Linked DNA regions of Yarrowia lipolytica. The protein of the gene in region 2 interacts with the protein of the main gene of each other region in a pairwise test. Links are inferred from orthologs where the notes say so. Each region holds a gene or a part of one and is shown on either strand. Other genes may lie near its edges. The genes, in order: YALI1_F26039g, YALI1_E39924g and YALI1_B28830g.

The links.
Region 1: the proteins of YALI1_E39924g (region 2) and YALI1_F26039g interact in binary tests that used the Saccharomyces cerevisiae proteins (3 or more experiments, as listed by UniProt). The link is inferred for Yarrowia lipolytica from reciprocal best matches to the Saccharomyces cerevisiae genes GDI1 and YPT7.
Region 3: the proteins of YALI1_E39924g (region 2) and YALI1_B28830g interact in binary tests that used the Saccharomyces cerevisiae proteins (3 or more experiments, as listed by UniProt). The link is inferred for Yarrowia lipolytica from reciprocal best matches to the Saccharomyces cerevisiae genes GDI1 and YPT6.

What each region holds. Positions count from the first base shown.
Region 1 is NC_090775.1:2,602,770-2,606,195, forward strand, and holds YALI1_F26039g (uncharacterized protein), read right to left. Parts: upstream 1,421-3,426; coding exon 1,347-1,420; intron 1,134-1,346; coding exon 590-1,133; downstream 1-589. Other genes in the region: YALI1_F26012g (uncharacterized protein), read left to right, coding at 1-332; YALI1_F26058g (uncharacterized protein), read left to right, coding at 3,082-3,111, 3,173-3,426. UniProt on the Saccharomyces cerevisiae protein: Ypt/Rab-type GTPases are key regulators of membrane trafficking and intracellular vesicular transport.
Region 2 is NC_090774.1:3,990,510-3,994,259, forward strand, and holds YALI1_E39924g (uncharacterized protein), read right to left. Parts: upstream 1,881-3,750; coding exon 528-1,880; downstream 1-527. Other genes in the region: YALI1_E39886g (uncharacterized protein), read left to right, coding at 1-276; YALI1_E39934g (uncharacterized protein), read left to right, coding at 2,959-3,750. UniProt on the Saccharomyces cerevisiae protein: Regulates the GDP/GTP exchange reaction of SEC4 by inhibiting the dissociation of GDP from it, and the subsequent binding of GTP to SEC4. Plays an essential role in the yeast secretory pathway.
Region 3 is NC_090771.1:2,881,050-2,884,442, reverse strand, and holds YALI1_B28830g (uncharacterized protein), read right to left. Parts: upstream 1,407-3,393; coding exon 1,402-1,406; intron 1,339-1,401; coding exon 1,255-1,338; intron 1,207-1,254; coding exon 594-1,206; downstream 1-593. UniProt on the Saccharomyces cerevisiae protein: Protein transport. Might participate in post-Golgi transport.

The DNA.
Region 1 (3,426 bases), on a different chromosome or scaffold from region 2:
TCCCTGCGCCCCCAGGAGTTTATTCGTTAGAGGAAGTTCTACCTCCTACAGGATGGACCTTCCTGGAGGTCCCTGAGAGAGATATGCTATCTTCTCTACCGCGGTCGTCCGATTGGGAAATGGACTACATGCCTGAACAGTGGGTAGCTTGGTGGGGTGCCTGGCGCAAGTACCTCGAGATTGACCAGGACGAAAAGTGGGTCTATGACATTCTTCCCGACGGATTCAGGGGTACTTGGAGAAGAAGACGGTGGACCAGTCTGTGCAAGCGAAAGTCGTATCTGAAGTCCAATGTTGTTGGTCGTGTCGGAGAACGGCGTGAGCACGATTGAGCCGCAAAACAATAAGATCATATAAGTTATTGCATTATTTATTATTCAGCCATATGTAATTGGAAGTGACAAGTTCTTCCTGAACAAGTATGGTACGAGTAGGGTAGGCTCTTGTAACCACCTTGTCCGTTGCACAGTGTACAGTGGTTAAACCGAAGGAGCCATGAACGTCGTCTACAGCTCATCTAGCTACCGTACACAAAATCCCATCCTAACCTCTAATATATTAACATACGTGCCCCTGCGATAAATACTTCTTAACAAGCACAGTTGGACTGCTCATTATCCAGATGGATGTTGATGGTGTCGGCGAAATCGTCCGTGTAGTCCTCTGAGTCCACCTGTGCCATGGCGTTTCGAGCAACGGTCTCGAAAGCCTGGTCTACACCAGTGTCCTCCTTGGCACTGGTCTCAAAATAGGGAATGTTGCCGGTTGCCTTGCAGAAGGCCTGGGCTCGCTTGGCGGAAACTGCCCGCTTGCTCTCCTCCACATCCACCTTGTTACCGATCACCACAAAAGGAAAGTTTTCTGGGTCTCGGGGGTTGGCAAGGAGAAGGAACTCATCTCGCCACAGAGTCAGGGCATCAAAACTCTTGGAGTTGTTGACATCGTAGACCAGAACGCAACAGTCGGCGCCTCGGTAGAAAGCCAGACCGAGGGATTGGAACCGTTCCTGACCGGCCGTGTCCCAGATTTGCATGTTGACTTTTCGGCCCTCGAGAGTCAGCTCTTTGTTGAGAAAGTCGGCTCCGATCGTGGCCTTGTATTGTGTGCTGAACTTGTTGTTGACGTACTGTTGCCTTGGTTAGTATCTGATAGTAGGTGGAAGAAAGCGAATCAAGCTGTGGGAAACGATGTCATTCGTTGCTCCCCATCTCTGTCTTCTCTTCATCTGTGGCATAATCCCAATGACGATTTTGTTGCCCAACAACCGTTTGAGTCGACGAAAGGTTGCCATGGTAGCACATCAACCAGGGGGCCCAGCAGACTGCGCTTTGTGTTGGTATACTTACATCAACGACGACTTACCAACGCCGGAGTCGCCGAGGATGACGACCTTCAGCATGGTTCTCTTTTTGGGCGGCATGGTTGTCTGTAATGGATAAGGACCATTATGATGTCGGCCATGTTGGGATATAGACCGGGGTTAGGGTAATTTGCCGTGGGGGACCACAACATAGGAGCGATTGGGAGGTGCATGTGACGAGGAAAAGGTGCTCAGGGGGAGATGAGCTGATGTGGGGTTTCCAAGGGGGATAAACGGGGGGGAGATGCAGATTATATAGATACGAGGTGTTACATAGAGTGTGTGATGTGAGGAGGAGGGTATCATGTGGAGGAAATGGTTGGTAGGTATAGGCAACCTTGATGACGTAATTAGACACTCCAACATCTAAACGCTCATTCACAAAACCTGAGGGCAGAGGATATTTGATGAACAATTTTAGTCCAAGAGTATTTCTAATCGTGACTTGAATTGAGGGCAATAGTTGATATTCCAGTAAGTACAGTACAGTACAATGCTCGTACTTTATTGTAGTAAGGAAGAGCTGTCTGTTTCGGTGTAAAATTATGGTCTGAAATTCTCTTTGCCAGTTACGTGGATACTTGGCCATTTACTTATCTTTACTTAGAACACGTGCACTATGCACTATGCGCGCGGTGTACGAATACTGTAGGAAGGACAAGCAGAGATGATCAGAGACACATTCCGATGACAGTTCTGTTATAGGTGGCGCCGAACTTTTATACCTACTGTCATCACAACCATCATATCTCGTTACTTTGCTATTCCACACTTGTTTCCTACAGGGCCCTTGTACATTCAGTTTCACTGTTCACAGCCGTGTCCAACCTACATGTACAGGATGTACAGTATGGACAGGTACTTAGACGTTCTGTACTTGCAAATATGTCTGTATTCTTGTATCCACTTCTGGTATGAGTACGAAGGACAGTTCGGTTCCTGCGGCAAAGTACGCTCTCTGGGGGTGCTTTGGTCAGCATAATCAATGCTGCATCTCGTATTGTGCTCACAAATCGTTTTTGTTGCTGGCTCCCAGTGTCGTTGTAACCTTCTGAACAGAGTGGGCAGGCAGCCATTTATTTGACAAGGTGTCAGATGAACAGCCGCCAAACGTGGCCATAACGGCAATGGAAAGTGAACAAAATACTGGAATCTCTGGTATAAATAGACCGCAAACTTCCCAGACAGGTTGTTTAAGTCGGGTGAATTTATTTCCACCCTCTCTCACCTCTCCCAGCATACTCTGCTCCATCCTTTTCAGTAAGTCCTCCCTTCACCGTCTCGTCTGAAACAAACTTTTAAAGGGTACAACTACAAGCATCTCGTGCAGCAAAATCAAAAAGTCGCCAACAGCATCTCAATTCTGCAACTATCGGTCTTCTTTAGTGCAACGACACATGTGTGAGTATATATGGGCCAGGACTCTGCATTTCGAGCCACTCAATGCCTCAGCACTAACTTGCAATGCTACAAGTGATCCGTACTAACGCAGCTTCGTCAAAACAGGTGAGAACAGAGAACCACGACCACGGGCGACAATGAGACGACCACATGCGATAAGGACGAACAGGATGGAAGATACGAACAACACTCGGGGTTAAAGCGACCCAGACTAGGTCTGGACCCTGGGATGCCCTTTTTCGTGCCCAGAACGGTTGATAGAATATTGGTGAAATGTTCTAGACCCTTCAGATCAGCCGTGTCATGATTCGAAAGAAGTCATGATCATCAACATGATATCCGCGCACCCAGTCAGTCAGGTGAAGTCAGGTCGATACTCGCGCCCATTTTACTATTTCACTACTAACATAGCCAAAAGCCAACGCGCTGAGAAGCCGGATTTCGGCGCCTCCAGGCTCGGCCAGCTCTCCACGGTCAGCCAAGAGAGTCGCATCAGCTGGAGGAGTGAAAAAAGCTGCAACAGCCAAGCCAACCTCCACGCGGTCTGCTAATCAGCTTAAGAACAACGCACTCTTTCAGGCCATCAAGGGTATTCCCAGAACATCTCCGACAGCCCCTGCCCAACCAGCTCAGCCACGACCAGGCCAGGAGTTGAGAGACCGAAT
Region 2 (3,750 bases):
GGACCCCCACCTCATATGGGAATGGGTGGTCCCAACATGGGTGGCCACAACATGGGTGGCCACAACATGGGTGGTCCTCCTCCCAATATGGGTCCTCGACCTCCTTATGGTGGCGGGGGACCTGGTCATGGCAATAAGCACGATCTCTTGCTTTCGGGCAACCCCGACTTCCAGTTCCAGCCTCAAACTCGGCGAAAACCTGGTCGCGGCGGTCGACCCGGCATGTCTCCTGCTAGCTTAATGGGCCGAGATACCGGACCATACAGCATGAGATGAACAACTTAATCAGGCACTCTAGAGCCTGGTTAATACTTTTTATTCTAGGCGTTGTAATTAATTTATTTGGTTGGTTAACACTGTGCGAGTGTGTAGGATGGGGTCTGGGTTGCGTATGCGTTTACTTAACATTAACGAGTCATCAATTTATCTTATATTCGCAGTTATCTACTCTGCAATTCCCTAAGTAAGATTACATAATATCATGCATAATCACTCATTTCAATATATTATCATTACAGACATGCAGCTTACTCGGCTCTAATAGCGCTCTCATCCTCCTCGTTCTCGGGTCGGGGCTTGACCACCAGGGGCTGGCCAGTCAGGCGGAAATAAATGTCCTTGACATCGTCAGTGGTCGACTCGAAATGCGAAGACGAGTCGTAGGACTTGGAGATGAAGACTCCGTCCTTGGTGCCATCCTCGATGGGCTCGTAGATGTCGGCAATGCCCATCAGGGTCTCCTTTCGGGGACCCAGCAGGTTGAAGGCAGGCTCAAGCTCAATGTGGGGCTTGTCGGTCTCGATGATGGTGGAGACAATGGCCAGGTAGTGGTCCTTGGCGCAGACGTTGTGGGCAGAAGACATGACAGCAATATAAATGTCGTTCTTTCGCTGGACCTGGTTCTGGGGGATGATGATCTGAACAGAGTCCAGGTTGCCAGTGTTGGGCACGGGGTGGTCCAAAATGCACATGGCTCGGATAACCTTCTGGCCAGTCTTCTTGACCTTCTCAGGGAAGTAGGTGGGATCACCGATGACAATGGGAGCGGAAGCAACCTCGCCCTCAGACTTGACACCAGTCACCTTGCCGTCCTCACCGTAGACAATCTCGTCAACGGGCTTGTTAAGCATGAAGGTACCTCCGTAGATGGCGGAGAGACGGGCAAAACCCTGGGGCAGCTCACCCAGACCGTAGACGGGGTAGATGTAAGGAGACTTTCCGTATCGGGCCATGGAGTTGAGGTAGAGGGCGATTCGCTCCACGGTCTCTCGAGCAGGCTGCTTGAGGTAGTCGTCGTTGGTCCACAGAGCCATAGAGTGGCCCACAAAGTCCCGAGTGCCGGTCTCAAGACCAAACTTGAGGTAGACCTCGGACATGGTGTTGGTGTCGAGCTTGAGGCCCTGGTGGGTGGCGAGATCGTCCTCCTTGTAGCCTCCGACGAACTCGAGGAACTTGGCAAGTCGTCGCTTCTCAAACATACCCATGAGAGAAGAGTTAATGGCCTCCGATCGGTTGGAGGGCACCTTGGCGATCTTTCCAGATCGGAAAACGAAGGAGCCGGAAATCTGCTTAAAGTCGATGTATCGGGTCACGTTGGTGTGCACCAGAATGTTGGAAAGCTCTCCATTGGCCATGAGGAATTTAGGGATCAGATCCACGTTCCAGTCTCGGTCTCGGCCCAGTCCGTCGGGCTTGGTGTCCTCCTTGCCAGGTCTGAACTTCTTGTAGAGCTGGGTAAGGTTGAGAGAAGCAGACTCTCCACCGTAGTGGTCCTGCCGGTCAATGTGCAACACCTTCTTGCCCTCGACGGATAGGATACCGGAGAGAATGCACTCGGTAAGGCCCGTGCCGAGCACAATGACGTCGTATTTTTCGTCCATGATGATATGTGGGTTGTTGTATAAGAAGGGTTCAAGAGAGAGGTTCCACGAAGGCTAGCGTAAGGTGTTGCTTAAGGGACGTGGTTGATTAGGGTTGCGTTACCCGGATTTGGTTACTAGTGCAATCTGGGTTAGGTCTTTCCGTGGAAGGTGACACTATAAAGTACAAGCTATGGTAGGGAGGTAGAGTCAGTTGTCGTTTAATCATGACAGGTACCCGCCTCCCCAGCTCTCATCATAGTGTAGCGACTCATCTCTAGATTCGCCATATCGCTACGTGGCCATGCATGGTTGCACGGTTGGGACACCCGTCATGCAGAATCAGGGATGTTAATAGCCACACAAGGCTTGGAGGTGTGAGTGCGGCAGTGCGACTGAAAGAGTTAGCCTGTGATCAGTGAGACAATTGAGTGTTTATCTGGGTGAATTGATAAGTTGTATACGTTCATATCGTTTATTGATGATTGCGTGGCCATCGTAACAGCACGTGCATATTCTCAGCAGTACTCATGTGTGTCTCCTGGGAGCTGAGTTGTTGCTGCGGTTACCATCATCATGATCGTATCCTCGTAATTTTAGCCATACGAGTACGATACCATTGCAGGTACTTGTACTGTATTGATACGAGGCGAGCAGAGTCGATATAGAGCACATAACGATAGGGAAAGAGTGGGACAATTGCTAGAAACTATGGCGTTCCTATTGTTTTTGTTCTTCCCTCTCTCCAGATAAATTTCTCATAACCTGCCTTAACCATGGCTTGAGAATCATTTCCCTCTGAATTTTCACTTTTGATCAGAAAAAAGTAACGTTCCACCGTTCTGATGGATATGTACTGCGGCTTTAGAGGTCCTATTTAGGAAACTACATGCGACGATTGGATATGAATAACACCGATTTCAAGCTGACTCTTCGATGCCGAGTGCTTTTGTCTTCTCCACCCCCACATCCAGTACCCCCACATTCAACCCCCCACACCAGATTATTGAGTACATGTTTAGGCAACCTTATACGGCTCTAGACCAGTGATAAGTAAGAGTCAAATTCATCCTTCTCGAAACATCACAACGACAGTGAAATGACTCGATTGCCGCTGATATCGATAAAAGACGCGAAGTTCCGCATGATTGGGGCCCTGGCCTCGTCAGGATCCAACCCTTACATTTTCCCCAATCCCATTTCGCTGACAATCAACCCGGATGAGAAATGGGTCATCAGTGGACCTCGAAAGTCGCAATTGATGTCCATTCTGGCCGCCAAACATGTATCAGATCCACCTCTGGGCCGGCAGTACCCTTTCCTCAAGAAAAAACGGGTTCCCAGCCAAGTCATCCAGACGCTGGAGTTCCGAGGATCAATCAACATGGGTCACTTGTCAGCTCGATATGAGTTCTTCAAGGACGAGTTCGACATGACTCTCATCGAGGAGCTCAAGCGAGCCTCCCGTGATCCCGCAACCGCGATGGACGACATTCCCCAGTTGCTGAAGATGTTGGAGCTGGACCAAATTGGTGATCGATGGTTTGGAGCTCTTTCCAACGGGCAGACCCGGCGATCTCGAATCGCCAAGGCTCTCATGAAGCATCCCGAGCTTCTGCTCATCGACGACCCCTTCCTTGGTCTCGATCCCGGTGCCGCTGACCTTGTCAGCAATGTCTGCAAGGAATTGCCTGAGACCAGAGGTACACACGCCATTCTGGGTCTGAGATCCCACGAGACGGTCCCCGACTGGATCACCCACGTGGCTTACGCCGATAAGTCTGGAATCGTGGTTGCAGGAGAGAAATCTCTTTCTGGTGAGCTTCTCGAGAAGGCAAAGACTAAGCATGACGAAAAGATCTTTCTCCGAGGAGAACGAGCCAAACAGGCC
Region 3 (3,393 bases), on a different chromosome or scaffold from region 2:
CGTATGTACTTGTCCATATGCTAGAGTAACAAGGTCATTCATCTTATGTTCTACCGTACTTCAAGGCCTTCCCTCTACTACAAGTAGCTACTACACCTACTTGTAGTCTCCAGGGGCTCCTGGATAGACGGTATGATGTGTATGTGAAGCTGGCCCCTTTCAGAATCCATATTTCTGTCAGATGGTTCATGAGATACCTCTGATACGAGTACAGTAGGTACAGTAGATACAGTACTTGGTACATACTGCACAGGACTCTAGGGTCTTGAGCACTCTCTGTCGGGGGAGGCTTTTGAAGAGAACGCGTCATATATATCCATCTGAATACTCATACTGAAGGAGAATCATGGGTGTTCCTAGACAATCGGAACATCTACAGCAAGTTCTAGACTGCAGATACTCCACCTGTAACCCCTGAGCCCCTGATGTCTATAACGCATGTGCAGGGAGAGCGCGACACGGTAGATTGTTTTACGATATCGTTTTTACTGGCTGAAGCACCCAGTCTTCCACACCTCTGTCGTTAAATTAATTTCACCTATTTACTTACATCCATGCTCAGTGTCATAATACTCTTATCCTCCACAGCCTGTCTAACACGAGCAGCTGTCCTGCTCAGGCTCGTTTGTAATATTCACGTCAATCAGCTCGCTCTGGTCGGTCTTGAGAGCCGTCTCGAGACCGGGCAGCTCGGACGCCACCTTGTTGAGAATCGACTTGACATTGTGGCCAGCCTTGGCCGACGTCTCCAGAAACAGCGCGTCGTACTGCTTGGCCTTTTCCTGTCCCTCCTCGGTCGTCACCTCTCGTGACTCCTCCAGATCGCTCTTGTTTCCAACTAGCATGAGCACCACTTGATTTCCTCGCTCGGCCTTGACGTCCTCAATCCACTTGTCCACGTCCACAAACGACTTGCGCGAGTCGATGGCGTACACAACAATGGCAATGTGACTATCTCGGATGTATGCTGGCACCAGAGATCGGAACCGCTCCTGGCCCGCAGTGTCCCATAACTGCAGCCGGATGGTTCGATCGGGCAGATACATGGGTTTGGACAGAAACTGGATGCCGATGGTTGCCTCGTAGTTCTGGTCAAACTTGTCGTACATGATTCGCGTGATCAGCGACGTTTTTCCCACACTCTGCTCGCCCACAATGACAAGTTTGAACTTTTGGATTTGTCCTGTTTCGGTCATCTTAGTGGTTCTGTGCGACTATCTGGGGCGGTGGAAGCGTGTCTTGTAACGGTGAAACTGTCGGGTGGCAAAAGTCGCGGGTTTGTGTGACTTGTTTCGTGTCTTTGCTTCGCTTTTCGGTAGCTCAAATCGCCGTTCTGTGCTTCACCCTGATATTATCACAACCTGTTAGTCCGTCATGTCCCTCTGGGTGGTGACAACTCACTGCATGTGTGGGGGTTAGGGTTTGTACCGGTTAAGGTTGTGGGTCTTGTGATTAGGGCTGAGGTGTTCTGTGAAACGGGCATGGCCAATTCTGAAGAGTGGAATGGACACCTCCAAATTTCTGCGAGTTGATTCCAGTTTGAATTTTTTCTGTGGCGTCATTACTGCGGAAAACACACTCCGTCTACAAGACTCCTGATCACGTGTGCACCGTTGGCAGACAGATTAGGCTGCTCATACGGACTGTTGGGAGAACGAAACTTGAGCGATATGAAAGGAGACATGAGAGAGACCTACAAGTATCGTACTTGTAGACATAGGCCTGGAAGCGGAAGCGGAAGCGGAAGGTGTGGGCACAATAAATAAGACTTGTTGTGTTTATACAAGCACGCTATATTACGAGTATTATTAGTCCATTGTGGCACCTGTGTGCAAACTATTTCGTACTACGCGTACTACTCGTACACGCACAACGGGAAGGTGTTTACGTGAGAAAAACTTGGGGCATGATATATGGATAATATGGACTGATACAGTAATCTCCCTTGAAGTCATTGGTGACGTGTATTTTTACGAAAGAGCTCCATTGCACGTCGATTTCACTGTACACCTCGGCAACTACAACCGACCCTCGGCTACCCTTGACAGTTGATGTGCCGTTGTAATGTCGTCTAGAGTCGAGATTGCAACAGCCTCCATATCATTTTTTCAGTCTAAACCAGTTTTTATCTGCTCCTCAGTCGTTACTCAGCAGATCTAGACTATCTGTTGGGTGCATGGGTGCAAACCAACCGAACTCTTACTGCCGGCAAGAGACACTTGTTTCATGGAAATTAGACTGAAATGTGTCTGTATTTTGACTATGGAAACGTCTCTATACAATAGATTACTGCAGATGTTTATATCTAGCTCTGTTTATACGTGTGTTGGTCCTCGCTCTCAAACAAGTGCCCTGTCCGGTCCATCTCTTCAGCATATACTACGGCCCAAGTCAAGTTGCAAGTCTAGTAGCACATTCTATTGACGATGCAGTAAATTTACAGTAAAAGACTTGGAATGTGCTCGTCGCTAAACTGTTGGTTCACCCCTACCCCTGGATGTGCCGCCCTCGAGACATGCTTTAGATCTTCGGAACATACAAGGGTACAAATAGTCGTGTTTGTATTCGTACAGGCAGTAATCCAAGGGTTCATCAGTTAGTCTAAGACTACAGTATGTACTTATGAGGTTGTATATTACCCAAGGACCCTGCTGCATCTCCCTGACATGGCGAGAAAGTCCACGTTTTCAACAACTCAACAGGAATGAGGCACTCGTACACCACACATTGGTACGTAAACCTGTGTTACTCTTTTCCAGCAATTCTGTCAATACTGTTTCCTCCACCTAGTGTCAACAAGACCAATGGTCGTACCCTTGTAGCTTTCACGCGCTAATGGTTTAGGTCCACTTGATGAAGAATATATCAACTGCCCAGCGTGTCAGTTGTGTCTTAGTCATGGGTAATACCTGGTCTGTTGGCTCACAATTTATACGGCAATCTCGTAGTTCGATTGCACATCTCTGACCTGTCGTAATCTCCTCGTATTCGTTTATAAATGGGGGCTTTATCCATGCGGATCGTGCATAAGACATGTATTGGGGACACGCGAATTGTTCTGGACTTGGCTAACACTATGTACTCGTAGTTAGGATATAGCGTGTTTCAGACTGTTTTGCAGTAGTCGGGTTCCATATATCCCTTGGTTGGTGAACTGGGTGAGCCGAGGCCCATTGTTTCTGGGGTTGAATGGGGGGGGGGGGGGGGGGGTTCAAAAAATGTAAGAAATTGGAGAAAAGTGCGAGAATACAGAAGTGAGGAGGATAAAAAGGCGAGATATCTGATTCTGCTTAAACAGGAAACATTTCTGCTTCAGGAATTTCATCCTGTCAAATACATTGTAAGGAAGACGGGACTTCCCTGAGGAACGGTTGTATCCAGTTCATAGAGGAT